Linked DNA regions of Xenopus tropicalis. The protein of the gene in region 5 interacts with the protein of the main gene of each other region in a pairwise test. Links are inferred from orthologs where the notes say so. Each region holds a gene or a part of one and is shown on either strand. Other genes may lie near its edges.

Evidence for each region.
Region 1: the proteins of tnik (region 5) and nefm interact in a two-hybrid assay, tested with the Homo sapiens proteins (2 studies listed by BioGRID and IntAct). The link is inferred for Xenopus tropicalis from reciprocal best matches to the Homo sapiens genes TNIK and NEFM.
Region 2: the proteins of tnik (region 5) and golga4 interact in a two-hybrid assay, tested with the Homo sapiens proteins (2 studies listed by BioGRID and IntAct). The link is inferred for Xenopus tropicalis from reciprocal best matches to the Homo sapiens genes TNIK and GOLGA4.
Region 3: the proteins of tnik (region 5) and actg1 interact in a two-hybrid assay, tested with the Homo sapiens proteins (2 studies listed by BioGRID and IntAct). The link is inferred for Xenopus tropicalis from reciprocal best matches to the Homo sapiens genes TNIK and ACTG1.
Region 4: the proteins of tnik (region 5) and dpysl3 interact in a two-hybrid assay, tested with the Homo sapiens proteins (2 studies listed by BioGRID and IntAct). The link is inferred for Xenopus tropicalis from reciprocal best matches to the Homo sapiens genes TNIK and DPYSL3.
Region 6: the proteins of tnik (region 5) and cnksr2 interact in a two-hybrid assay, tested with the Homo sapiens proteins (2 studies listed by BioGRID and IntAct). The link is inferred for Xenopus tropicalis from reciprocal best matches to the Homo sapiens genes TNIK and CNKSR2.
Region 7: the proteins of tnik (region 5) and gse1 interact in a two-hybrid assay, tested with the Homo sapiens proteins (2 studies listed by BioGRID and IntAct). The link is inferred for Xenopus tropicalis from reciprocal best matches to the Homo sapiens genes TNIK and GSE1.

Annotation. Positions count from the first base shown.
Region 1 is NC_030679.2:127,631,092-127,634,860, forward strand, and holds the end of nefm (neurofilament medium polypeptide), read left to right. Parts: intron 1-1,111; coding exon 1,112-2,693; 3' UTR 2,694-3,269; downstream 3,270-3,769. UniProt on the Homo sapiens protein: Neurofilaments usually contain three intermediate filament proteins: NEFL, NEFM, and NEFH which are involved in the maintenance of neuronal caliber.
Region 2 is NC_030682.2:60,998,364-61,001,863, forward strand, and holds part of golga4 (golgin subfamily A member 4), read left to right. Parts: coding exon 1-7; intron 8-245; coding exon 246-321; intron 322-710; coding exon 711-814; intron 815-1,471; coding exon 1,472-1,558; intron 1,559-2,066; exon of another isoform or gene 2,067-2,193; intron 2,194-3,500. UniProt on the Homo sapiens protein: Involved in vesicular trafficking at the Golgi apparatus level. May play a role in delivery of transport vesicles containing GPI-linked proteins from the trans-Golgi network through its interaction with MACF1. Involved in endosome-to-Golgi trafficking.
Region 3 is NC_030686.2:28,628,393-28,632,362, reverse strand, and holds the start of actg1 (actin, cytoplasmic 2), read left to right. Parts: upstream 1-1,170; 5' UTR 1,171-1,255; intron 1,256-2,629; 5' UTR 2,630-2,636; coding exon 2,637-2,759; intron 2,760-2,848; coding exon 2,849-3,088; intron 3,089-3,373; coding exon 3,374-3,812; intron 3,813-3,970. UniProt on the Homo sapiens protein: Actins are highly conserved proteins that are involved in various types of cell motility and are ubiquitously expressed in all eukaryotic cells.
Region 4 is NC_030679.2:43,705,197-43,708,696, forward strand, and holds part of dpysl3 (dihydropyrimidinase-related protein 3), read left to right. Parts: intron 1-278; coding exon 279-435; intron 436-3,500.
Region 5 is NC_030681.2:111,604,333-111,607,832, forward strand, and holds part of tnik (TRAF2 and NCK-interacting protein kinase), read left to right. Parts: intron 1-186; coding exon 187-273; intron 274-2,369; coding exon 2,370-2,561; intron 2,562-3,500. UniProt on the Homo sapiens protein: Serine/threonine kinase that acts as an essential activator of the Wnt signaling pathway. Recruited to promoters of Wnt target genes and required to activate their expression. May act by phosphorylating TCF4/TCF7L2.
Region 6 is NC_030678.2:44,236,940-44,240,439, forward strand, and holds part of cnksr2 (connector enhancer of kinase suppressor of ras 2), read left to right. Parts: intron 1-1,825; coding exon 1,826-2,351; intron 2,352-3,500.
Region 7 is NC_030680.2:64,862,414-64,864,864, forward strand, and holds the end of gse1 (genetic suppressor element 1), read right to left. Parts: intron 2,174-2,451; coding exon 2,070-2,173; intron 1,682-2,069; coding exon 1,547-1,681; 3' UTR 501-1,546; downstream 1-500.

The DNA.
Region 1 (3,769 bases), on a different chromosome or scaffold from region 5:
AGAGGATGATTTGTGTTTAAATCTTGGGTCAGACACATTCAGCATGGAGCCCCTTTCTAAGTGACCCATCTCCTAAAGCGTTAGGAAGCCACCCTAAACATTATAGAATTGTTTGAATGGAGACTGGAGCTATTATAAATATACACTAAATTGTACTGGATAGTGTTCATTATTTTTGTTTCAGCTGTTTAAATATGTAATTCAACTTGATATTATTTCTCCTGGCTGCAACCAACGCACTCATGCTGTGAGCCGCTGACAGATTTCCTCCCCCCCCCCTCTACTTGGCTCATTCCAGCATGAGTCGGCAGTTTGCCATGTGTTTCTGACACTCAGCATGGTTAGCTTATTCACAGCATGGGAAAGGCACAGCAGCAAACCTTTTATATCTCAAAAACTATTAGAAAAAAAATAATAAAACCAATTTGTGAAAAAATATACATACTCACCCATTACAGTTTAGTGGACTCTTTATAAAAGCATTAGTTACCCTTTAAGTTAAACAATTAAGGTGTGAGTGAGGGCCATCCCTTTGTCCTGATGCACCTCCCCCATTTTACATAACATTTAGGTGGTTTTTCAACGTGGGATGTGAACTGAGAACATTTGCATTTTTTTATTATAGTTACCACAATGGATCACTATCATAGTGTCTGAAAGTCTAGAGATGCCCAGAATGTAGAATTCAGTTAAGAATTCCACCATAACCCAGAATGTGCAGAATTTAGCCAAATGCTTAGGGGGCAGCCAGACTGAATTCTTAAGATTATGTGTAATGATTGCAAGGCATTGTAAGTGGTGCATACTAAGAAGAAAGCTGTTACTACTGAGTGAGTAAAAGATGCTGAGGGGAGGGAGTGGGGGCAGAATGGTTGTAGGTTTAGAGTGGCGAACCAGAGGCGCACTTGGCAATGTTAATAAATATCTCATGAGGCAGGGAAACGAAGAGCGGTGGGATAGAGGGGACATATATATATATAATAAGGGTTAATCTTTCCCATCTCAATAATAAGGAGGGTTGTGGGTTCTATAGTCTAGTGTGGGAGATTCAATTTGATATCCATGCAGTGTGTAACATTAATTGCATTTTCATCTTAATTTCTTCTTTTAGGAAACTTCTGGAGGGTGAAGAGACCCGGTTTTTCTCATTCGCTGGTGTCCCTACTGGACCCTCCCCTATTCACAGGCCAGCCCCAATAATAGTGTCCTCCACTCGGGTGCAACAGGCACGGTCAGAGCCACCAAGGGTGAAAGTGCAACATAAATTTGTAGAAGAGATTATTGAGGAGACAAAGGTTGAGGATATGGAAGCAGCACTGGCTGCTATGGCAGATGATTTTGCCGCAGGTCTTGTAGAGCAAGAGGAAGAAGAGGAACAGGGAGAGGAGACACAAGAGGATGAGGGAGAAGCTGAGGAGGAAATTGTAGCAGCTGTAGAAAGTAGTGTTCAAGCTGCTGCTCCAGGAGAAGAGGCAGAGGGAGAGGAGGAAGAAGAAGAAGAGAAGGTAGAGGAGGAGGGAGAAAAGGAAGAGGAAGAAAAGGGAGAAGAGGGGGAAGAAGAGGGAGAGAAAGTAGATGAAGAAGAAGAGGGGGGAGAGCAAGGAGAGGAAGAAGATGTAAAAGCAGAGGAAGAGAAAGAGGAAGGAGAGGAAGAAGCTGAGGGAGAAGAAGCTAAGGCAGAAGAGGGGGAGGAAGAGGGTGAGAAAGGAGAAGAGGAGGAGGAAAAAGAGGAGGGAGTAGAGGAGGAAAAAGAAGAAGGAAAAGAGGATGAGGAAAAAGAAGAAGGAGGAGAGGAGGAGGAAAAGGAAGAGGTAGCAGCAGAGGAGGAAGGTGGTAAAGGAGAAACTGAGGAAGAAAAAGGGGAGGCAGAAAAGGAGGAAGAGGCAGAGGAAGCAGAGGGGGGAGAAGAGGAAGCCACTGAGGAGGCACATGATGAGGAAGTAGTGGAAGAGGTTATGACAGAGACTAAGATTGTCAGGGAGCAAGCAGCAGTGCAGGAAAAAGCAGCTGAGGAGGAAGAGAAGGAAGATGCAGATGAGCAAAAGGATGAAGGCGAGGATGAGGAGACAGGGGAAGGTAAGGAAGAAGCAGGGGAAAAAGAGGAAGGGGGAGAGGAAAAGGAAGACGCAGATGAGGGCACTGAGCAACAGGAGGAAGAGAAGGCAGAGGCAGATGAGGAAGAGAAGGGAGAAACTGAGGAAGGAGCTGAAGAAGAAGATGCTGGAGAGGACAAACAAGCAAAAACTCCAGAGGAGAAAAGTGTTGAAGAGACCATCTCTGTGTCCAAAGCTGCATCTGTAGGATCCGAAACAGAAGGTACCAAACAGGAGGAAGAAAAAAGTACCCAGAGGGATGATGGGAAGGAAGATACAGCAGTGAATGGAGATGTGGAAGAGGAGGAAGCAAAGGAAGAGAGTGAAGACAAAGCTGTGGTCACCAATGGCCTAGAAGATGACAGCCCGTCAGAGGATAAGGAGAGCAGCAAGGCCCAGCAGACGGTAGTCATCACAAAAAAAATAGAAACCACAACAAGTGAAGGTGAGGATGGTACAAAGTACATCACCAAGTCAGTAACAGTCACAGAAAAGGTGGAAGAGCATGAGGAGACTGTGCAAGAGAAGATGGTGTCCACTAAGAAGGTGGAGAAGGTCACTTCACATGCAGTAGTCAAGGAAGTTACTGAGGACAAGTGAGATAAAATGTATAGCAATTCCAGCAAGCAGCAGGACTGAACAAGCCATAAGATAAACTGCATGAAAGTGACAGCTTCTAATGGGCTTCTAGCAGAAGGGGGTTCTCTCGTGGGTTGGGGGCTCCAGACACTGTAATATTACTTTCTGTGCAATATTTGTGGGGAAAAAATGCATGCAAGCTCCAGGTGTGCCCCTCCCACACAACTTGGGGAATTTACATAAAAAAAAAATAAAAAACCCAAAACAATCAACTGCATGATATGTAACTGAAGAGGACGTATTTGGGGGTTTCCTAAGTTGCTGTGGGCGTGGGCTGTGGTCCAAGCAATGCATAGCTGGGGGTCTTCAGCTGAATTATGCAAAGAACCAACTGAGCCAAATAAAAGGGGGTAGGGAGACCATGAAACGGAAGTTTTCTCGCCTTAATAAAAGAAATCTATCCTTATGTTTACCTCACTGGTGCAATTAATACAGACTGCAGGTCATGAGAGAACCTAGGAGAATTGTGACACAACCTGTTGATGGGTTATGTAGAAGTGAACCTTGCTCAATAAAAAGGTTATATTGAAAATCTCATTCGCATGTGTCATTTGTCTGTACATTTCATGGGGCGTCTCAAGTACCAGTACAACCCATTAACCTCCATTTCCTAATTGCTTTCCCTCACAGGGGGGTCCAGGTTCCCCAGTCGTTGCCAAGCTGTAAGGTGGGTTGGTGGGATTCCAATTTATACAACTTGTGTTGAACACATGTCCTTCCTGTTCATTCAGTTAAAAACAATGATGTTTCTTTGTATATTAAAAGCTAAATGCTTTGTATTTAATCTAACTTACCAGTGAAATCTCAGTCTGTGAGGCAGGAGAAGGTATTGAAGAACAGAGTTTGATTCCCTACTAGGCATCTAGGGAGCTTCTACATCACTGCTTTGCTTGCATTTTGTTTGCATGGGAACCATCCCATAAAGGGGAAATCTACCCAAAAAGAACTTAAGCATATAGAAAAGCAAACACAATTTCAAGCAATTTTGCAATATACATCAATTGAAAAATATGCAGCTCTTTTATGATTTTTAATAA
Region 2 (3,500 bases), on a different chromosome or scaffold from region 5:
GGAGAAGGCAAGTATGCAAAAAAAAAAATACTGTGTTTTGCATCACATATTTTTAGAACAGATGCCAATAGGAAATTTGTGGTTGGAAAAAAAAAAAACATTTTTGTATTCACACAAGAAAAATGGTCACAAATAATAGAAAATGTCCAGAATATGAAAATGTTATGACTGGCAGAAAATAATAATAAAAAAAAAAAAACCTAAAAGGAAAAATAGAAAAATCAAAAACATTCTTATTCCTATAGGTTCACATCCTAGAAGACCAGGTGAAAAACTTTACTCGTGGTGTATTTTATACTCCTATTGGCACACCGTATAAAGGTAGGAATTTTCTTTAAAATCCTTTAAAATTTCTTATTTTTCTTTTCTTATAACTAGGTTTAAGGCACATACTGTATATGGGAATGTATTATAACTTTCTAAGTTATAATATTTCTAAGATACTAGAAGCTTCAAGGCGTTTTTGGAACCTGTTAAAATTTGATGTAATGCTGAGGAAATGAATGCAGGATAGTCACATATTTTCTGGTGATATGCCTGTAATTTCAAGTGCATAAAGTTCACTTTGCAGGCTCCAACACATCATTCGTATGATCTAATAATGCTTATTCAGTTTATTCTGTGGTTACTGATAACAGAAATGTACTAAATGTCATTAAAGTAGTGTAAAATAGTGCTTCTAAATACTCTTGTTTCTTCCCTTCCCTCAGAAGTTAATAATCAACATGCAGGGGTTTCTGTTTTTGGCGAACCCACTGAATTTGAGTACTTAAGAAAGGTGATGTTTGAGTACATGATGGGGCGTGAAACAAAGGTAGGAATATTTTTGTCCTGTTTAAAATAGATGATGTTTGTGGGTTTTCTCATTAAGGCGGGGGCAAGATGTGCAATTATCCTAATCCTTGTATTCTCTGAAATGTTTCCTCTGCCCTTCATTGTCTCCCCCATACACTATTTCACTGTCCTGTACTCTCCTCCCCATATACTCTCTTCCTGACATTTCCTACCCACTTTCCTTTTCTGTATATTGTGCCCTGCACTTTCTCCCACATGTTCTGCCCCTACACTGTCCCCACCCATAAACTGTTTTTTCACTGCTTTGTCTCCCTACACTGTTTTTCTACCCTACATTCTTTTCTCTGTACAGTCTCCCTGCTTTGATTATTCTGCCCCATACACATTCTCCCTTCCCTACACTTTTTCACATATTTCTACTTTTTCTGCCTTGCACTTTCTCCCCATACACTCTTTTCTCATATATACTCAATCTGTGTTGTGCTGTCTCCCACATTCATGCTCTCCTTGCCCCTTGCACCTCAAAGCCCCATATTTCCCTTAATTCCCTGCTATTACTGCCATTTCTGTTTGGAAGACCTATCTATCTGCCAATTTACCTGCAGTGCCCTGCTATCACGTCTGTTTCAGCAAGCCCTTCAGGTTGATGTTCAGTTATAATGTTATTTCCTCACAGACAATGGCAAAGGTAATAACAACTGTGCTGAGGTTCCCAACAGATCAAGCTCAACAAATTTTGCAACGAGAAGAAACCCGACCACTGGTAAGATTCACATTTAAAACAAAAACCCCTTAGTTTTTTTTTTGTTTTTTTGTTTTCTTTATAGGTTTAGCAGACTATTGCACCTCTTTAAAACAAGTATTATAAGCAATTATAAGTAAAACTGTGCAGGACAGTGTTGTGTTTGAAACATTGTCTGTATATCACTAATTTTTATTATTTGTAGTAGTTACTAGTGAAGCGATATAGCCCCATGCTTAAAAGAGAGAGGTTAATTGTATTATTAAGTATCATACATAACATAAAGGAAAATCTCTTTAGCAGGTAACGTGTACTTGCAGGCCAGCTATGGCCATGTCTTTTGTTCATAGATAAAATAGAATACAACTGCCATTTCACTCATATCGACCAGTACCCAGTGCAGGTGAGCCAGCCTTAGTTCAGAAAGTGTCTTGAAAAAGCTGTTAAGAAAGGGCCTGAAGTGGTGTGTAATGTATAAAATATTCGTTTTTGAAGCATGGTTATTAAGCTTGAGAGGGTATTGCTACAGGGATATTAGGAACAATAAAGGAGGGAGAGACAAGGAGATTGAAATTGAGAAAGAAAGAGAAATGGCAAATTAATGGCGACCTCAGGAAATGGTGATAACAAGGACAAAAGAGAAAGCAAAAATAGAAGTAAGTATTACAATAAAGTAAAGAGAGTAAGAGTTAACAAGGGTTTAATCAAAAGCCCATTGCCTTAAATCAGTGCTCCCCAACCAGTGGTTTGTGAGTAACATGTTGCTCACCAACCCCTTGGATGTTGCTCCCAGTGGCCTCATAGTAGGTGCTCATTTTTGAATTTTTGGAATTTCTGGCTTGGAGGCAAGTTTTGATTGCATAAAACTCATTGTAAAGCCAAACAGAGCCTTCTATAGGCTGCCAGTCCACACAGGGGCTATTAAGTAGCCAATTACATCTCTTATTTGCACCCCCAGGAACTTGTCCATGCTTGTATTGCTCTCCAACAATTTTTCCATTTGAATGTGGCTCACAGGTATAAAAGGTTCGGGATCCCTGCCCTGTTGCTTAATTGGGGGAAGAAAAAATGTTTCTGTGCAAACTTTTCCATATAGGCAGAGAAGAGTGACTGTTAGAAATACAAACAATATCTAAAGGGAACATTATTTGCCCTGTTACTTAACTACCATCTAATGCTACTTACAAGTTAATGAGCACCAAAAGAATGAATCAAAGTGAACTGAGGAATTCACTCCTTCAGCTCCAATACAAGCGGAGAAATTGTAACCTCACTGACACGCTGGCATTTTAATGTATTCCTGGATGGAAATTAATATGTCTTCATTGATATATATGAAGGTGGATGCTTACCTGGGGCATTTTAGTTTCTGTTAAAATTTGTGGCAGTAAATATTTACTAAAACTGTTGCATAAAATCACTCATGTGTAGTTGTGTGTGGTTGAGGGCAGTGTCATGGAATAACCCACACCAAAAAAAGACTACAACCAACTCTATAGAAAGGTAATGGAAAAGTCTATAGATGGTCACTGAATATTACAGTTGAACCAGTAAGCAATACTAAAAGAGTAGGCATAGCTGTACATCTAGCAAGAAGCACAAGGTAGACTCTGAAATGGACTGAATGAAGGATATATGGTCCAGACCAGATATGAGCTTGTTTGGCCATTAGACTAAAGCCTGTGTTTGATGTAAGCCACTGTACATCCTCATAAACCTACCATCTTTACAGTGAAACATAGTGCTAGCAGCTTTGTGCTGTGGCACTGCTTTTCTGCAGTAGGCCTGTCATGGTAGAATGAATGCAGCAAAATGCATTAGGATTTCCACCAGGATTATACTGGGTAAGACAAAAGGGGTAATTTCCCCAACCCCTGGGTGCAAGTGCAAGAACACTAAGGGCAACAAGAGTGTATTACAAGACGATGTAGAGAGGTGTGTGCGTGTGTGTACATATATATAC
Region 3 (3,970 bases), on a different chromosome or scaffold from region 5:
TAACGTACCATGAACTTTGTTTCACCATAACAACATTTTCTGCATGAAGCCAAACACATGACTGTCACTATACAGGATATTCTGCAAGTAAGCTTCCCTCTAACAACTGCTGCAATTCCTAAGCCATTCCCTCTCTATATGTGTAATGTCTATTCCAATTTGTTCCGAACATCTTTAATGAATCTGTCTTTATAATCTGGCAATGTACCCACCAAGCAGCCCTTGCCTTCAGGGATTGTTCTTTAGAAAGTTCTGTTTAAGGTAATGTGACATGCAAGACTGAGCTCACTTCCCAGCAGTCCCACCCTGAATGTATTCCTTCCATCTTAGCCCTAAAGGGAGAATGCTCAAGCACCTGAGGCTTCAGAGAATACAAAATAAAGCATTTCCCAGCAAGGTACCTAAAGGGGGTATGTAGTAGAACCACGCCCTTTAATATCCTGTCTATAGGCAATCCATGCATTTGTGTTATATCTATATAGGGTTTAGCCCATGTATCACTTAGCACTTTATTTACAAAACTCCCTGGGCTTGGAATTCGACCAGATCCCACTCTAATTTTAGATAAAGAAATAAAAATAAAGTTTCAAGGATGTAATGTGTTCCTATTGGGTATACTGTAGGAAAATGCACACCCTCTGTATAAGGACAATGAAACACCTAAGGAAAAAAACATGACCTTAAAAGGTATTTCCATCCTTCCCTTTGGCCATAGTGGCACCACGCTCGCCTGCTATTGTTAACTACGCTTCCCAGCAACCTCCGCTACCCCAGTAATCCGTATCTCACTGTCCCACCGCATAAGAACTTGAGAGTTAGAAATCCCCGGACTACGATGTTTCCCTGTATTTTACAATACATTTTAGAGAAATGTTTCAAGTAATAGTAACATATATGTGCAAGGGTAGCGGCTTTCCTGCTCTAACACGGCCAGGCCTTACACGCCTCCCTATTGCTCATAAGCGCATGTAACTTCAGGGGTTCCGGGTGGACGTAGGGCCAGGACTCCGGTCCCGCCTCTTCTCCCAACCAAGCAACCAATGGCGAGGCGTGTTTCTGAAAGATGCCCATATTTGGCGATCTTCTGTCTGTGCGGCAGCAGGCGGGGCTGGAAGCCTGTGACGTTAAATAGAGATAACGGCCGCTACTGGGTTCTCATTCAGCCGGTGGCAGCGGACTTGACAGCTACTTCCCGCTCTTTGTAACAACTTGCCAGCTTTGCATTTCTCCTCTTAAGGAAACCTCCAGCACCAAGGTAAGACCTTAGACAATGTCTTACGGCTGTGTGTGGGTGGTGGGCGGAAGAAGTCTTATGGGGTACCGTTGGCCGGGATAGCGTGTGGTAGTGTTCTGTCTATATATTGTTACATGACCGTATTGTCTGTGGCTTGGATATTTGTAAGTCTCCAGTAATGCACGCTTAACTTGTTCTCCTAAAAAGCTGCTGTTGATCTTAATGTGTTACAATGCCCTGCGATATTCTATTTTAAAATAGGCATATTCTATATACATATCTGGCCCTTGTCATACTTCTGGTTACCCTGGGTGCCGAATGATGTTAATATGGCTATGTACAGAACTATATGGCTCTGGTGTCAGTCGCCGTTCGGAGGTGGCTTCCCTCCCTTATGGCTAGAAGTTTGCGCGGGTTTCCCTGCGATAGCATGACGGGCTGCACCATTCTAAAGGGTAGGGGTGAAGCTATTTCTCGCCTCCCCCCCCCAGTTACTTGTATGAGTCACCCCACCTCTGTTGGCCACGCCCACGAGTTTGAAGCTTGTAGCTTTTTGTTTCAGCGGCAGGGCGTGGCTGCTGCATTCTGCTTCCATATTAGGGCAAGAGCTCTGTGATTGGCTGAGCGAGCAGTCAGGGCAGATTTAAACATCACACCAGTTCTAGGGGTGGGGCTGCTGTTCATTAGCCGGTACCGGCTCCTGCGTTGTATAAAGTAAGGGCGGGGGTTAACACTAGGGCGAGTCAGAGAAATCTATTCTATTATGTTTATTTATAACTATATTAAATTAAAGATTCTGCAGTATGGGCAGCTGTTCTTAAATACAAATAACTTGGGTGATTGTGTGCTTTACATCCTGTCATTTTTGTAAATGTTCTATATTGCTTGGATAGCTACACTGTATTGTTAGCCTGACAGCTGAAGTCTTGTAGCCTTTTTGTGTTTTTTTTTTTTTTTTTTTTGTGGTGTGCCCTTTCCCTATTGAGGGGAATAACAGGGCGTGACTGGCTGTACCACTTGCCTCAAGTCTTTAGCCTATGAAAAGGGCTGCCTTAGCCTTTCATTAAACGATTATCTAATCATAGAAGTGTTGATTGTGTTACTATTAATGCTGTTAATCAGCTGTGGGATATTCCCTGTTACCTTGTACAGCTTTCAGTGTACAAACTTTCCACATAATTCATGATTAATCTTTTTACTTAAGAAACAAGTGTTTAACGCTTGTCGCTCATGGTAGGGTGGGGCTGAAGTGGATTAAACGGTTACTATGCCTTACTGTTGGTACACTTGCCTACAAATGGCTTAGCTGTGTACGGAGTGAGGTTGTGGCTACTGACTGAGATAAATAGCCAGTCCCTTATTTTGCTTATGATGATCTGTTTGTTTACCACACAGAAATAAAATGGATGAGGAAATTGCAGCACTCGTCGTTGACAATGGCTCTGGAATGTGCAAAGCCGGCTTTGCTGGAGATGATGCTCCCCGTGCTGTGTTCCCCTCTATTGTTGGACGCCCAAGACACCAGGTATATATAAGTGATGCTTTAATCCTTCATCCAGCAAATGCAGCTTAAATTTTTTTTCTTGGGCTGACTTACTGTTCTTTTTGTTTTAGGGTGTAATGGTTGGTATGGGCCAGAAGGACAGCTATGTAGGTGATGAAGCCCAAAGCAAGAGGGGTATCCTTACCCTTAAGTATCCAATTGAACACGGAATTGTTACAAACTGGGATGATATGGAGAAGATTTGGCATCACACCTTCTACAATGAGCTTCGTGTAGCCCCTGAAGAGCACCCAGTCCTGCTTACAGAAGCTCCCCTGAACCCCAAAGCCAACAGAGAAAAGATGACACAGGTTTGTTTTCAGTGGAAGGCCCAAATACACTTATTTTGGGGTAGTTCTTGTACACTTCATTCTTATTTCTCAAACTCCAATTTTCTTTCAATATTTTCAGGGCTCTGTACCTCTCCTGGCATTTCCCTCCTGAAGTCTCAGGTTTCTGTTTCATTGGTTTATTTCTGCTTGTTCTGTTTTTCTACACATCTATCTCTTTGTTTTGCATGATGGCATGCTGGCATGGTTTGGGGTTCTAACTCGTCTTGATTTTTAGAATTAACATTGTTCTCATGTATCCCTTAGATCATGTTTGAGACTTTCAACACCCCAGCTATGTATGTCGCCATTCAAGCTGTGCTGTCTCTGTATGCCTCTGGTCGTACCACTGGTATCGTGATGGACTCTGGAGATGGTGTCACCCACACAGTACCCATTTATGAAGGTTATGCCTTGCCCCATGCTATCCTGCGTCTGGACTTGGCTGGTCGTGACCTGACAGACTACCTCATGAAAATCCTGACCGAAAGAGGCTACAGCTTCACCACCACAGCTGAGAGAGAAATTGTGCGTGACATCAAGGAGAAACTCTGCTATGTTGCTCTTGACTTTGAACAAGAGATGGCAACTGCTGCATCCTCCTCATCCTTGGAAAAGAGCTACGAACTGCCTGATGGACAAGTAATTACAATTGGAAATGAGAGGTTTAGATGCCCAGAGGCACTCTTCCAGCCTTCCTTCCTGGGTGGGTATCTGTTAAGACGTTGCATTTCATCTGACTAATAACTCTTCCTCCTGAACATCTGGTCTAGGTAGTAGGTCCTGTTTCCACAGTACACTGTATAGTTGCTAAAGGTGACTAAAGTGACTAAAGTGAACCAAGTATAAGTAAGAATGGAACTT
Region 4 (3,500 bases), on a different chromosome or scaffold from region 5:
TAATCAGTCACTGGAGTCAAGTTAAAATCAAAAGGAAAATAACTAAACCTCTTTTTAAGAAAGACATCTGACCATATTAAAAATTATTGAAAGAATAGCAATCTGTGCCATTGGCATTGCCATTCATGCCATTCAGCATGTACAAGCACTAAGCCAATAAGGCACATAATGTCTTAATTGCAGCTGTAATCATGTAGAATTTGGGCAAATAAATGTTAGAGGTGAGAGTAAATTCCATTTGTAAAAAAAAAAAAATATTTACATTTTCTTATTTTCAGGCTATGTTGTTTTTGGTGAACCAATCACTGCCAGCCTGGGCACAGATGGAACACACTATTGGAGCAAGAACTGGGCTAAAGCAGCTGCATTTGTGACATCACCACCTCTGAGTCCAGACCCAACAACCCCTGACTACATTAACTCCCTCTTGGCAAGGTAAAAGGGGCTGCTACCATTGTAAAAGTCCTACCATTAAATCTTCAGAACTATTTTTCCTCTTGATTAGAGGGGCTTTCATCAATTCATAGCAACCATGGGTCAGTAATATGTGTATACAGTGAATGCAACCCAAGCCGTCATGCAACCCTGTCTGTTAATGCCCTTTACTATTCATAGGACCAGTGACACTTTAATGTTTCTCTTTTTCCCGTACAGACACTGCTATGTTGTACATACATTGCCATGTTATGTTGAAACTCATATTAAACTTTATCTATGTAGAGTGCTGGGGAACTGTTTTTTAATCTCAGCTGTTGGCAGTTTCTCTCCATCTGGTACAGATTAGTGGACACATTTTATTGTGCATGGTCTCTATCCATTAGTGGCTAAGATAGACTGAAAGCACACAGGGCTAACCAGTTAGGATTAAATATGTGCAGAAATATTTCTTCCAAAGAAGGATGGAAGCAGGGCCCATAGGTGCACTCTGCCCAGTACACACAGGTATTTTTCTTTTAGCAGTTTTATTTACAGATATAAAAAGGGGATTATGTTTTACTGTATTAAAATGTATATTCACATTCAAATACATTCTGTTGTATTCTAGTTGCTAGTATCACATTAACCCTAGCAACCGATTTCAGGCCAGATATCGGTCGGGCAGGCCCATTAGTAGTGCCCATACACGGGCCGATTGGCTGCTGAATTGGTCTAAGGGACCGATATCGGCAGCTAGAATCGGCCCGTGTATGGCCACCTTTAGTTGCATCAGTATAGTAACCACCAATCAGCAATTTGCTTTCATCTCACTAGTGTAAAGCACACAGCAAAGTTAAACTGGCCATACACATTACAATTACAATCTTTCCTGTGACCACAAGATCGTTGGTACCCTCCATAGACGTTTAGGGCTGAATTGTCAGATATGGAGGAAGAAACAATAAGAATTCTACCCCTATCTGATGATTCAGCCCTAAACGCAACCGCCCGATCAAAATCTTTAGTCCTGCCCAGTTGACGAGACGACTGATATCTGAGGCTTTTGCTGATATTGGTTATCTCGTTGATCCACCGAAATTTCAGCCTCTTCAAACAGAGTCGACAGCTTATCTGCCGTGTATGGGCCCTGTTCAATAAATATTGTATCTAGTCGAAAATTGGGCATTTATCTATCGGACAGGTTTAAAAATCATGTAAGGATGGGAACATCATTGGTCAGCACTGCCGCTTAATATGTTCCAGTAGTTTGACCCTATAAGCCCAATACCATCCAAAACAAGGTGGCCATATTAGGCAAAGATCTGCTCGTTGGGAACCCTAGCCAAACAACTGAATCTGGAGATGGTCATCTCACACCTTTAAAGTAGCACACTTTTATTAAATACACATTTTGCAAGTTCAATGCATAACTTCACATAATTCCTTGAACCTTGCATCTAACTTGCATCATGAGTATTAAATGAGTGTCCTACTTGAAAGTTGAGTTAATAACCCTAACCATACACATTGACCACTGGGCTATTAATTCAGTTATGTATATGGTCAGGGTGGGCAGAGAAATTAAATCACTATAGAGCTGAGACATCAGCACACTACACTGGACTGTGACAACATACATGTACCACTGTGAGGAATCAGCTCTCATGGGACTGGTAAAGAATTGAATCATTCTACAATAATGCATGAATGGGTTGAAGGGGACATCGACAGCCTGAAGCTCTGAATGTTTGGCTGCTAGTGGCCAAACTGGAGGCTCTTGTGTTCCTTACATATTCAGCTGTAGAGAATTAAAAATAAATCCTGATTGGTTGCTCTGGGCCTCTGCCGTGTAACCATTTATCACCTGTGCTTTTAAATGAGCCCCAGCGGGCCTTGATAGCTAAGACAGGCAGTCCTTCTTATCCAGTACTGCTTTGTATGTAACTGCCATGTTGCCTCTCTGCTATTAATATTAAAGCACAATGTAAAGTGTGTTTTCCCTCTTACTGTGTTAAAGGCAACTCATGTGGTTTTGGGTCAACTGCAATTACTTCGTTCTTTGGCTTTAGTGTAAATGACATCACTGTATAATGTCATTCATAGTGAGAAAAACAGGCAGACGGGATGGTCCTGTGGGAGCTCAGCGTGATCTATTGTTTGTCAGCCGACATCTGATACGGTTTATCGTTAGCTTGGAGTCCAGCTGCATGAATTGGACTGGGCTGTACACATAGTTAGTCATGTTGTAGGATTGCTAGCTGTGCCCCTCTCCCATCAGCCTGAGTGACACTATATATCACTGCCAGATTTTTAATCAACAATTGTATATTGTTCTGTTAAAAACATGCTGCAGTGCTATTGTTTGACTAAAGCTGCAACCTGCATTTCTCTGGCTAAAATACAACTCCCTACAGCTGCTGCTTGTCAGGGGCTTCTGGGAATTGTAGTTCAACCACAGCTGGAGAACCACAGGTTGTAGATCCCTGCTATATGTCAAGGGAATGGCAGAAGTGTTTACTACAACACAAGTCATTAGAGAAATAATCCTTTGGTTGTCAAGAGACATTAAAGGAGACATATCCTATAAAAATTAAGAATGTACCAGTGAATTGTACTCCTCTAAATATAGAAGGATTGTGCTTTAAAAAGTTGTGTTTCAGACTGATTTATTGAGAAATTCCACAAAAACCCCACTAGCCCCGCCCATCTGTTACACTTCCTGCTGGCTGAATTCTCTGGATGAGCTGGGGAGCCGGCGGCCCTCCGTACACTGCACTGTAGGATAGGAACCAATCAGCAGCTAGTATGACCTGATAGGGAACTGAAGCCTGTCTGTGCTTGTGTGAGTGCAGGGCTGTGATTGGCTAGTCCCCCTCTACCTGTGCTTCTGGCAGGGACTGTTAGGACACGCCCACTCTTCATTTCACACTGGACAGAGAAGTGATACAATCTATAGGGAGCTGCAATAAAGGGGCCATTTTTACAGAGAGGATTCATTTTTAGCACAAAGTGAAACCAGCACCATATATTATTCATAATTGCCTACAAAATTAGGGTTTTTCCCATTTATCCAATATGTCCTT
Region 5 (3,500 bases):
AAACACTGGGCAGCATTGTATAAATGTATGGTTTAACATGAATTTATCTCTCTAACTGGTGTACTCTCTGCTCTGAATACCCGCTATGTTTCTTTCTTGGTAATTGGTGTCTAAGGTACTAACAATTCTTTTGCTCAATCACTTCTTTCTCCTCGTTTCTTTCTCTTTCACTGCTGCACAACCCAGGAATACATAAGGCGACAATTAGAGGAGGAGCAGAGGCAGTTAGAGATATTGCAACAGCAGTTACTGCAGGAGCAAGCTCTACTTCTGGTAATGGGAGTCATTCCCCAGTTCATTCCTGCCATTGTGTGTTGCATTACCTACTACTTCTTGGTCATATGTCCAAAGTTCTCATCTTTCAGAACAAGTGCCTTGCATGTTGTTGCACTCATTAAAATACTTTGTACCAATATGTTTCATTAAAAATAATACAGAGAGGATCTTCTTCATATTAAAATAGGTTTTCATGATTTGGAACTAAAGGGTTTTTTTCGCATTAGATTTTTACAATACATTTGTGTCTTTTTTTTTTCCTATAAATGTGATAGCATGCCAGAGTGCCATAATCCTTTCAGGGAGAGTCACGGTGATCTAAATGCCCCTGTACTAATCACTATTCTTCCAGAGTATAGTGGCCATTTAATGAATTATAAATTCAGGCATTTTCACTTTCTGCTAACATTTGTACTACTGCAACATTTGCTTAATATATTTCCTTAAATGGTCAGGTCACCCGATAATGACAGATGAATAGAACAATAAAATATATTCGTAACAACTCAAATCTAAACTCGAGATTAGTCCGCTTTTTGGTTGTCAATGATCCAAACAAGCATAATATATATATATAATATGCAGAAATGGGATTGTCTTCTGCATGTTGTCTTTTTGTTTGGTGATTGCTCCTCCATGCTCCTATTATATATAGTGATAACACAAACAAACTATATACAAATATACAAACCAAATATATTAAATATAGTGAGAAGGATTGGTTCCTCACAGCACAGACCCCTTCACCCTTCAAAAAGCAGGTTATCTGAAGCTTGGAGAAAGCAGGTTTCAATGCCGTATATATCAAAATGAAGTCAGAAATTATTTGCATTGCTAAAAATGCTCCCATGCGCTACGTAGTGGTAGTTATGAGAATAGTATCCAAGCAGGAGAAATAGGAAGCCAAGTTGGGAAATAATTTTGAATATTACAAACCATAGCTTATCTGAAAGCAGTTTTATTGTTTAGTGCAGGCTCAGGCACAATGACCCTAGATGTCTGCCTACATATTACTACTAAAAATACATTATTGGTTCAATAATGACATTTCTTAAAAGTGAAAATGAATTATTTGCAATGTAAACAGTGTAATTTAGTGAAAAAACTATGCCATAAAAATCACTTTAATAAAGTAGGGCCAGGCTAACAGATTTGCAACTAAAGGCAAATGAATCATGTCTAGAAATAAGTTTATTCCTTGCGCATTGCCATTGCATGTAATTATGGCTTGTAAAGCCTTGGCCTGCAAGGTAATGGAATGCTGTGTAGCCTTTTGTTCAGCAAAGCTGTCAGTTGCTGTTGTGCCTCACAAACCCACACCTTTGTTCTCATGAAGCAGAATTATGGCTGTTGTGCTCCCTAGGAGAGCTGTGCTCGCTTTAGGCTTTGCAGAATTAGCATTGAGCAAAAGGACTAAGGATGCTTCAGTGGTTCTTGCATAGCCGCGTATGACTTGGCGGGTTGTTCATATGCCGTAGGCACACCATTCCTCTGCCAACAACAGCAATTATCATAGATGGGAAGTCAGTGGGACAAACTTATTATACGTATCCAGCTGAAATCACCTTCTTTGATATCAAAGACTGTTACCATCCTGTTACGTCATTAAAACGATTTGTGAAACAAAATGTTCTTTTTTCCTGTTTATTTAAACCCACATAACATCCCAGTTTTACTTACAATGGAAATAATGTAGCTGGTTTTAAATAAGCCTTTATTAAAAACCAAGTCGTGAATTGAAAACGTTTTAACTTCACCTTTTAAGATAACACCCTTAAAGAATTTCTTATGCTTTATTGGAGAGGCCACTTTTTTGTTTATGTTGGAGCAAGTCTGAGTGTAGTTTGCTTTCCAGGCTAACTTGCCACTGTTTTTGCATTTTCTCCACAAAGTTCAGATTCCTACCTTTTAAATACTTTCTTTTTATTTTCACTTGACATCCTATAATAAGGTCAAACATCTTGGCATTCTATTTTGTGGAGAAAAACAAACCTATTCAGAAAAGTCTCTGGTGGGTTGGTTGCAACAATTAGAAATGGGCCAAAGAGTCAACATCTGCCTTGTGACTGATTTTTACCTACCTTTCCTTAAAGGAGTATAAGCGTAAGCAGTTGGAAGAACAGAGACAAGCAGAGCGACTTCAGAGACAGCTTCAGCAAGAGCGAGATTACCTAGTTTCTCTCCAGCAACAACAACAGCAGCAACAGAGGTCATCTGAGAAGAAACCACTCTATCATTACAAAGAAGGGCTAAACCCTGCAGAGAAACCAGCATGGGCAAAAGAGGTATGGCAGCCATTGTGCCCCAACTGGGCTAACAGAACTCAGCATGAAATAGTAACATAATTGCTTGACCGATTGGGTGTATTTCAAGTATTAATAATTTTTGAATGTTTCATCAATGTTTATTCTTTAATAACAGGCTGGGTAGGATTCAGTGTGACTGTAACTTACACAGCTCCAAACCTAGAATGTAGGCTGACATCATGTACTGCAGATACTGGTTAGTATTAAAGTGCTGAAAATACTCCCTCTGTCCACTGGGGAGCGCTGGGTACCTCTGTAAGATTAAATTCTCGTTGGACATCAATTACAACTTGCTGTATTTGATTTAATGGCCATGAAGAATACAAATGAACATTTTAAAGCTGATGAATGTGAATTAAATATTTTAGATTATTTCTAGTAGCATCCGAAAGGTAAGGAAAGTATTTAACCTAAACAAAGCCTTGTGGGGGGAGGGTCATTGTGTTCATATATCAGAAGTTTTGCTTTTAGCTTTTTGATGTTGGCGTTAGGGTTGACTGATGGTAGCTCAATGAGTTCCTTATACCTAACCATCCTTGGATCTTTGCATCTGTAGTATGCCATAGGGTCCACTTGATTTTTAAATGTATACTTGGGGGAGTAAATGCTTCAAGTCCCTGCTTGGGTATATATAGCAGAGGTCAATGAAGAAGGCAGATCCTAGCAAGGTTATGAGGAATTACTCCTTCCAAAACCCTTGAATACGTTTTATTTGAAGGAAAAATAAGATAGTCTCTGTGGAATATTATTTCTTAATCAGGAGTTGAAGAGATGAAAGGACAATTTTTTTTTTTTTATAAATGCCAAAATATTTTACATTTTAGAAAAATTGTGATGCAGTCACAAGTGAATAAACCCTCTCATTATAAGTGTTCTGAATAGGAGTCCTCTGTATTTATTATTTTAAATTATCTCCTC
Region 6 (3,500 bases), on a different chromosome or scaffold from region 5:
GAAAAAAGCTTTAGCTCCTAGTTGTTGCTCTGTGCTGCAACCAAATACAATTGTAGAAATCCAAAAAATAGGAAAAAAGCTTCAGCAGGTTTACTGCAAAACATTTATTGTGGGTAGTGGTAACACAACATGTTTCGGATCAATACCCTTTATCAAGTGTATTATTTTAATAACTGCCTGAAATACAGTCTGCCTCCCAGTAATTCAAAGAAAGAAACTCCCTAACCATTTTGCCATCTCAGAATCTAAGTGCCAACCTGTTCTGATGTATATTTTATAATTTGCTAAATGTGGTTTCTTTGTTTTTCTTGTTTTCCTACTTTTGAGCTTAAAACCATCACAACACTTATTGCAGAAAATGATCATGCTACATAAATACTGAAACTAGGGATCTACATATATATCCTGACACGTCTCAGTATTATTCCACTATTCTTTGAGATGTGTAGGATGAGTAAAACCACAGAAATGTTTCCTACGCTCTTGTATATCATGTACAGTTCTAAATCTGCAATTATGCTCTACAGCGATTCATATCAGTATTTTACATGTATTTTACATTTGCTTTTTTACTTTATTCAAAACCCAAAAGCATACAAAAAGATTATTATATAACATGAACATTTTTTCACTGAAATGAATTAATTTATACTGACAGTGTAATTGACAACCATTACTCCAGAAGTAAAAGATGTAAATATATGCAAGTTCTTAGTTTCCATGGAAACACTGACAGCGCAGTCTACAAAGTAAATTCCTAAAAGCAACAGAAGTGGCACTCAATTTTCATCTGAGAAATAAAAAAACATTCTGTGCTTTGCTGCGAGTTCCTCAAACAATGTTTGCTAATTGTCGGTAAGAGACAAGATAATGTTGGAACCATTACAATACATAAACATTCATTAAACTATCAATCAAGTTCCGTATCTTGTTTTCTCTAAAAATGGAATGTTTTTTTCATACTGCCCTGGCTGTCCAGTTTGTTAAAGCAGTTTTATAGATTTGTAGATTTGCTTTGCATAAAGGAAACTACTGCTTCATTTGGGTTTCTCCTGGGGAAGGACACAACATTGTGTAGCATGTACAGTATACAATACTATACACTATACGGCTGCTCTGAAAGCAAAAGTCCATAAAAATGGGGCTTATGTACAGGTAATGAAATCATGGGAGTGCCTAACTAGCTTGTTACAACTATTGTACATATCATACAAGGACATTGTCAAGGAACTGATCCTTAAGATGATTGAGTTCTCTGCCAATTGAGGCTGCTATAGAATATTCCTTGAACTTAAAGGTTCAGGTATCTTCTATTAAATCAAAAAGAAAGGAAACAATATCTGGAGTGAATTTCTGTTGTTAAAGTTTAGAATACTTCATTGTGATCTTGATGGTATACCTGATGAGTGGAGGATAAAAGAATGGCATTCTAAAACATCTGCCTGAATCTAATTTTTAGTGTATCCAAATTACAGAAAGACCCTTTATCCAGGAAACCCTAGGTCCTGAGCATTCTGGATATTAGAACCCATGCCTGTACATGAATATACAATCTTGGTTCTAGAATTACACATTTTTAGCTTCAGGCTGTTTTTCAACATTCCTGTTGGTGCATTTTTCCCATATAATTCCAAGTTGCTGTTTCCCCACTCACCCCCAAATAGGGAATAGCCAAAGTGTAGCATCCCTTCAGCTGATTTAATATATACATAATATTATTTTATTTTATTTTTTTTAAACCATGATTGTTTTATCATAACTGGAATACAAGTCTATTGGCAGTTCTTATCCTCCCAGGTTTACTTGGTTTTTTTCTCCCCTGTAGATGAGTTGTGCCAGCCCATTTGTGGAACCAAAACACAGGCTGTCTTCCACTGAAACCTCACAGTCCCATTCCTCGCATGAAGAATTTCGGCAGGAAGCAGCTGGAAGCACTACAGATTCTCCAGTAAGAAAAACAGCCAGTCAAAGGCGATCCTGGCAGGATTTAATTGAGACACCACTAACTAGCTCAGGACTTCATTATCTTCAGACTCTTCCTCTAGAGGACTCTGTATTTTTGGAGCCAGCTGTGGTTTCCCCAGATCACAGACGACAGTCAACCCTTCCAGCTCCAAAGTGCCATCTTCTAGATCATTATGGTCCTTTTTCTTTGGCAGAGTGTAAACAATCACAAGCACAAAGTGGTAGTGGGGCAAAACCACGCAGTTTTACACTCCCACGAGATGGAGGCTTGAGCCACTGTGCGCCACTGTCACCAGTGAGTATCCTGGAGCCACTGGAATCCTCGCCGAAACTGGAAACACAAGGTGAAGCAAAATCTGATCAACCAGGGAAAGTTGAAGATGCAAGTAGGTGTTTCTTGTTCTCTTCAGAATATTGTAGAGCTTGAAAAGCAGTTTGGATTTGGTTTTAATGTAGCTCTGTCTATTATGAACCATATTATCACTTTTATAAGTATATCTGGAGTTACAGGCTGCTTTCGCTGAAAATTAAGTGCAGAACAGTATTCCAGAAATCTGTGTCGGTCTCATTATATTGTTTCAGTGGGGGAACTAGAAGTAGAAGTAGTTTATTGCCACCCTAAAATGCAAGTGAGCTATGGATTAGGACTAGATGTAATTCTTAGTGGTGAAGGTAGCAGGAGTCAAATGGCAACATGTGCCATGCCTGTACAAGGATGTCCAGCACTTCTGAATTGCACCTGATTAACTGCAGAAATGGAGCAGAACATATATACAAAAAAGAAGACAATAAATACTGTGTTTCTTTTGATAGAGGACTCAGTGCAGCTTTTCTGTGAGTGCTTATGGTTGTATTTACATAGACCTTTTATTATCCTTTCTGATAAAGCTTATTTAGTTTTCATCTGTCCTTCTTCTTTAAGTCAATCTGTTGTTTTAAGCTGTGTGTTGAGCAACAAAGATTGTGTAGAAACGACAACGTTGGCAAAATAGTGGTAAAAATGTATGAAGCATTACACACTTGTGTTTTTGTTCCTGTTCCTTAATGCACATGTGAGAACCCCTGAGCAGGGCTATTAATGGTGACTAGTGATGAATGAAATTTTTTGGCAGGTTTTGCCGCAAAGAATCTCCCATAGATTCCAATGTTGGGAAAAAAAAAGTTGCATGAAAAAACACTCATTGACTTTAAAAAATTTTGCAAATTTTTTCTGTTTCGCAAATTGTCCTGTGAAGCTAAATGGGACAGATTCACTGATCACTAATGGTGACTGATATATGATTACCTTGCTGTGAATCAGGAGACTATTGTGATTACAAAGGAAGGTCTTTAATCAACTTTCATCCAGGGAAGATAACATTTTATTTTCTTGATACAATTTTTGGACACCCATTCGTTTTCATTTTTGCTTTTTATTTTTTCAATAGTGATTTTTGTTTAGGGCTTTTCATTTAAGCCTTTAACCTGCATTGGCAAAAATTTTTTGCAGTTTTTTGGTAATTTATTTTATTGGAAACTCCAATGACAGTCTGAAA
Region 7 (2,451 bases), on a different chromosome or scaffold from region 5:
CCTAATTATATCACTGTACCACAGTTACACATACACACACAAGCTGCCACACAGTGTTCTCTGCCTGAATCTGGCCATACATATACCAATAAAATTATACAGTTTTTGGCATGTATAGTGGCTGGATGATCCCGATTGGTAACTATTAACTGACCACGTTAATACAAAGATTTTGCTGCTCTGATCTTTCAGGGATGTTAGACTCAGCAAAAAGAACAATTTAACATTGGCCATACTGTGTACAGCCCCTTGTACAGTATCTGTCCTGCTCATGGGTCAATCAGTAGGATACCATGCGGGACCAGCCCATCTATGGCTGGATTTAGTCTAAGATTTTAGAGGGGTGAACATGAATATGCCTGCCTCAATAGGCCAGTGTGAGTACAGAAGAACAGACACATACCACACATAAAACAACCTAAAATCAGCACATCTTACTGGCAAATCTGCTCATGTAACACACCCCAAACACTCAAGTGACAGGCAAAAACACCTTCCACTTTTAATTCTCTTTCCAACTTTTAATTTTCTCAAAAAGACTTTGATAGGATAAATTCCTGACCAGCAGCAGAATACAAACACTAAATAGCAACTTTAAAAGAGACATGTATTTTCCTCTGGCTGAAAAAAAATGCAGAAGCGCTGAAAATGGCAGTTTTTTTTCTTTATAACAATAATTAAAGCAATAAAAACTTACAAAAAAAACAAAAAAAAAAAAAACAACTTTGTAATATATACAGTCCAAGGCTGAAGCACCTGATCAGTATGTCTAGATTCCAATCGGTTTCCTTTTGCCTGCTTATGGGAGGTGTGTAGCAGCTTTGCAGTATAGAACCTCGACCATGTGACAGGTATTTAATAAAAGGTACCTTCAACCAATCTGAGATCCAGGTTTAAGTGCATTCCCATTGCAAGCTGCAAAGCTCTGCGTGGACAAATTGTCTTTTGTGTTACAGAAATAAGTCCTTAACCTCCAATTTCAGCATATTACATTTCTGATTAAAAGAAGATATACCATAAAAGTCATAGAACTTTCAAACTTTTTTTTTTTTCCTTTCTGTGGCAAGGACACAAGGAATCCGTGATAAATAAAGCAGTACAATGCGGTTTCAGGTTGAAGAATGATGGCAATGAAGGGTGGATTCAGAAAGGTAAGCACCCACTTTGGTACAGTCCAGAGGGCAGACAGTGCACTAGGTTGCTTGTAGTGTCAGATGCAGCCAAAAGTCTGTCAATGAGGGACCCTGGTATGGGATGTGGTGCCAACAGGGAAATCATGTGGTGAAGAAAATGCCCACGGCTTTGCCTTGACTGAGGTTGGTTGTTCTCTCAATCTCTCATAATCCTTTGAGACATGCATGGCACATTCATATATTTATATATATGGATTTTTTTTTTGTTTTTTTTGTTTTTCTCCCAGGGTGGTGCAGAATGTGACAGAAATAGGATGATGTTTCCCAATCCTCCCAGTGAAAAATATTAAATATCGAGATAATAAAATAGATATTTCTATACTGTACGATCAAACCTAGTGCAAGACAAGATGTCACCTGTGGTGGCCTTTGAAGTATCCTCTAGACCACGGCGTTGTGGGCAAAACAAGGCACTTCCTAAAGTGTTCTAGTTCAGCTTGTAATCTCTCTCTTTCTGATGCCACCTTTTGCTTCTGGCTCATCAAGTCCTGTGGGGAGAGATGCATGGTGTAAATAGACTGAACGCAAGAATCTCACCATGTTAAAGGCCAAAATGCCGATAAATCGCATTGACTGTAGAAGCATTTACTGATATACAGCTGGAAAATAAATACAGTCATGGAGCCAAGAATATGTCAATGTCAAGTAGAATAAAGAAAACATTTTGCCTGCACCTCTCTATTACGCTGCTTATCTACTGAACTATCTTAGCAATGGTCCATGCACCTTTCCAGCATAGAGAAACCTTCCACAAAAAGCACTACACTGCTGGCTTGTTTTTTTAAACAATAGCTAGAAAGACTGCACGCCAAAGTATGCTTTTAGTCGTAAGGGGCACTGTGAGAAAAGAAGTTAATAGACAGGGACATCACTTACTGCCATGCGGTGTGACAGCTGTTCAGCTGTCAGACTCAGGTTATAGTGCTGGGATTCTAGTCTTTTACACTGCTTCTCCAGAACCTGCCGTTCTAGGTTTTGTTCTGCAAAGAAAAAAAGTACAATTTAATCCCACTTCAAAGAGATATAAGCAACTGTAATTATGGAGCATAAGTGAAACATAGCTGTGGTAACATGTACATCTGAATCTTTGTAAATACAGCAAGGCACAATAATATGGAATGCTTGTTAACTATATTTATCTGCAAACTAGTAAAGTGCCATAGCATGGAGTAGTCATAATATATTGTTACATTAGAAAACGATTACATTAGAGACGCTTTGCATTATGATGCCCACTCTCCCTGCATTGTACCACACC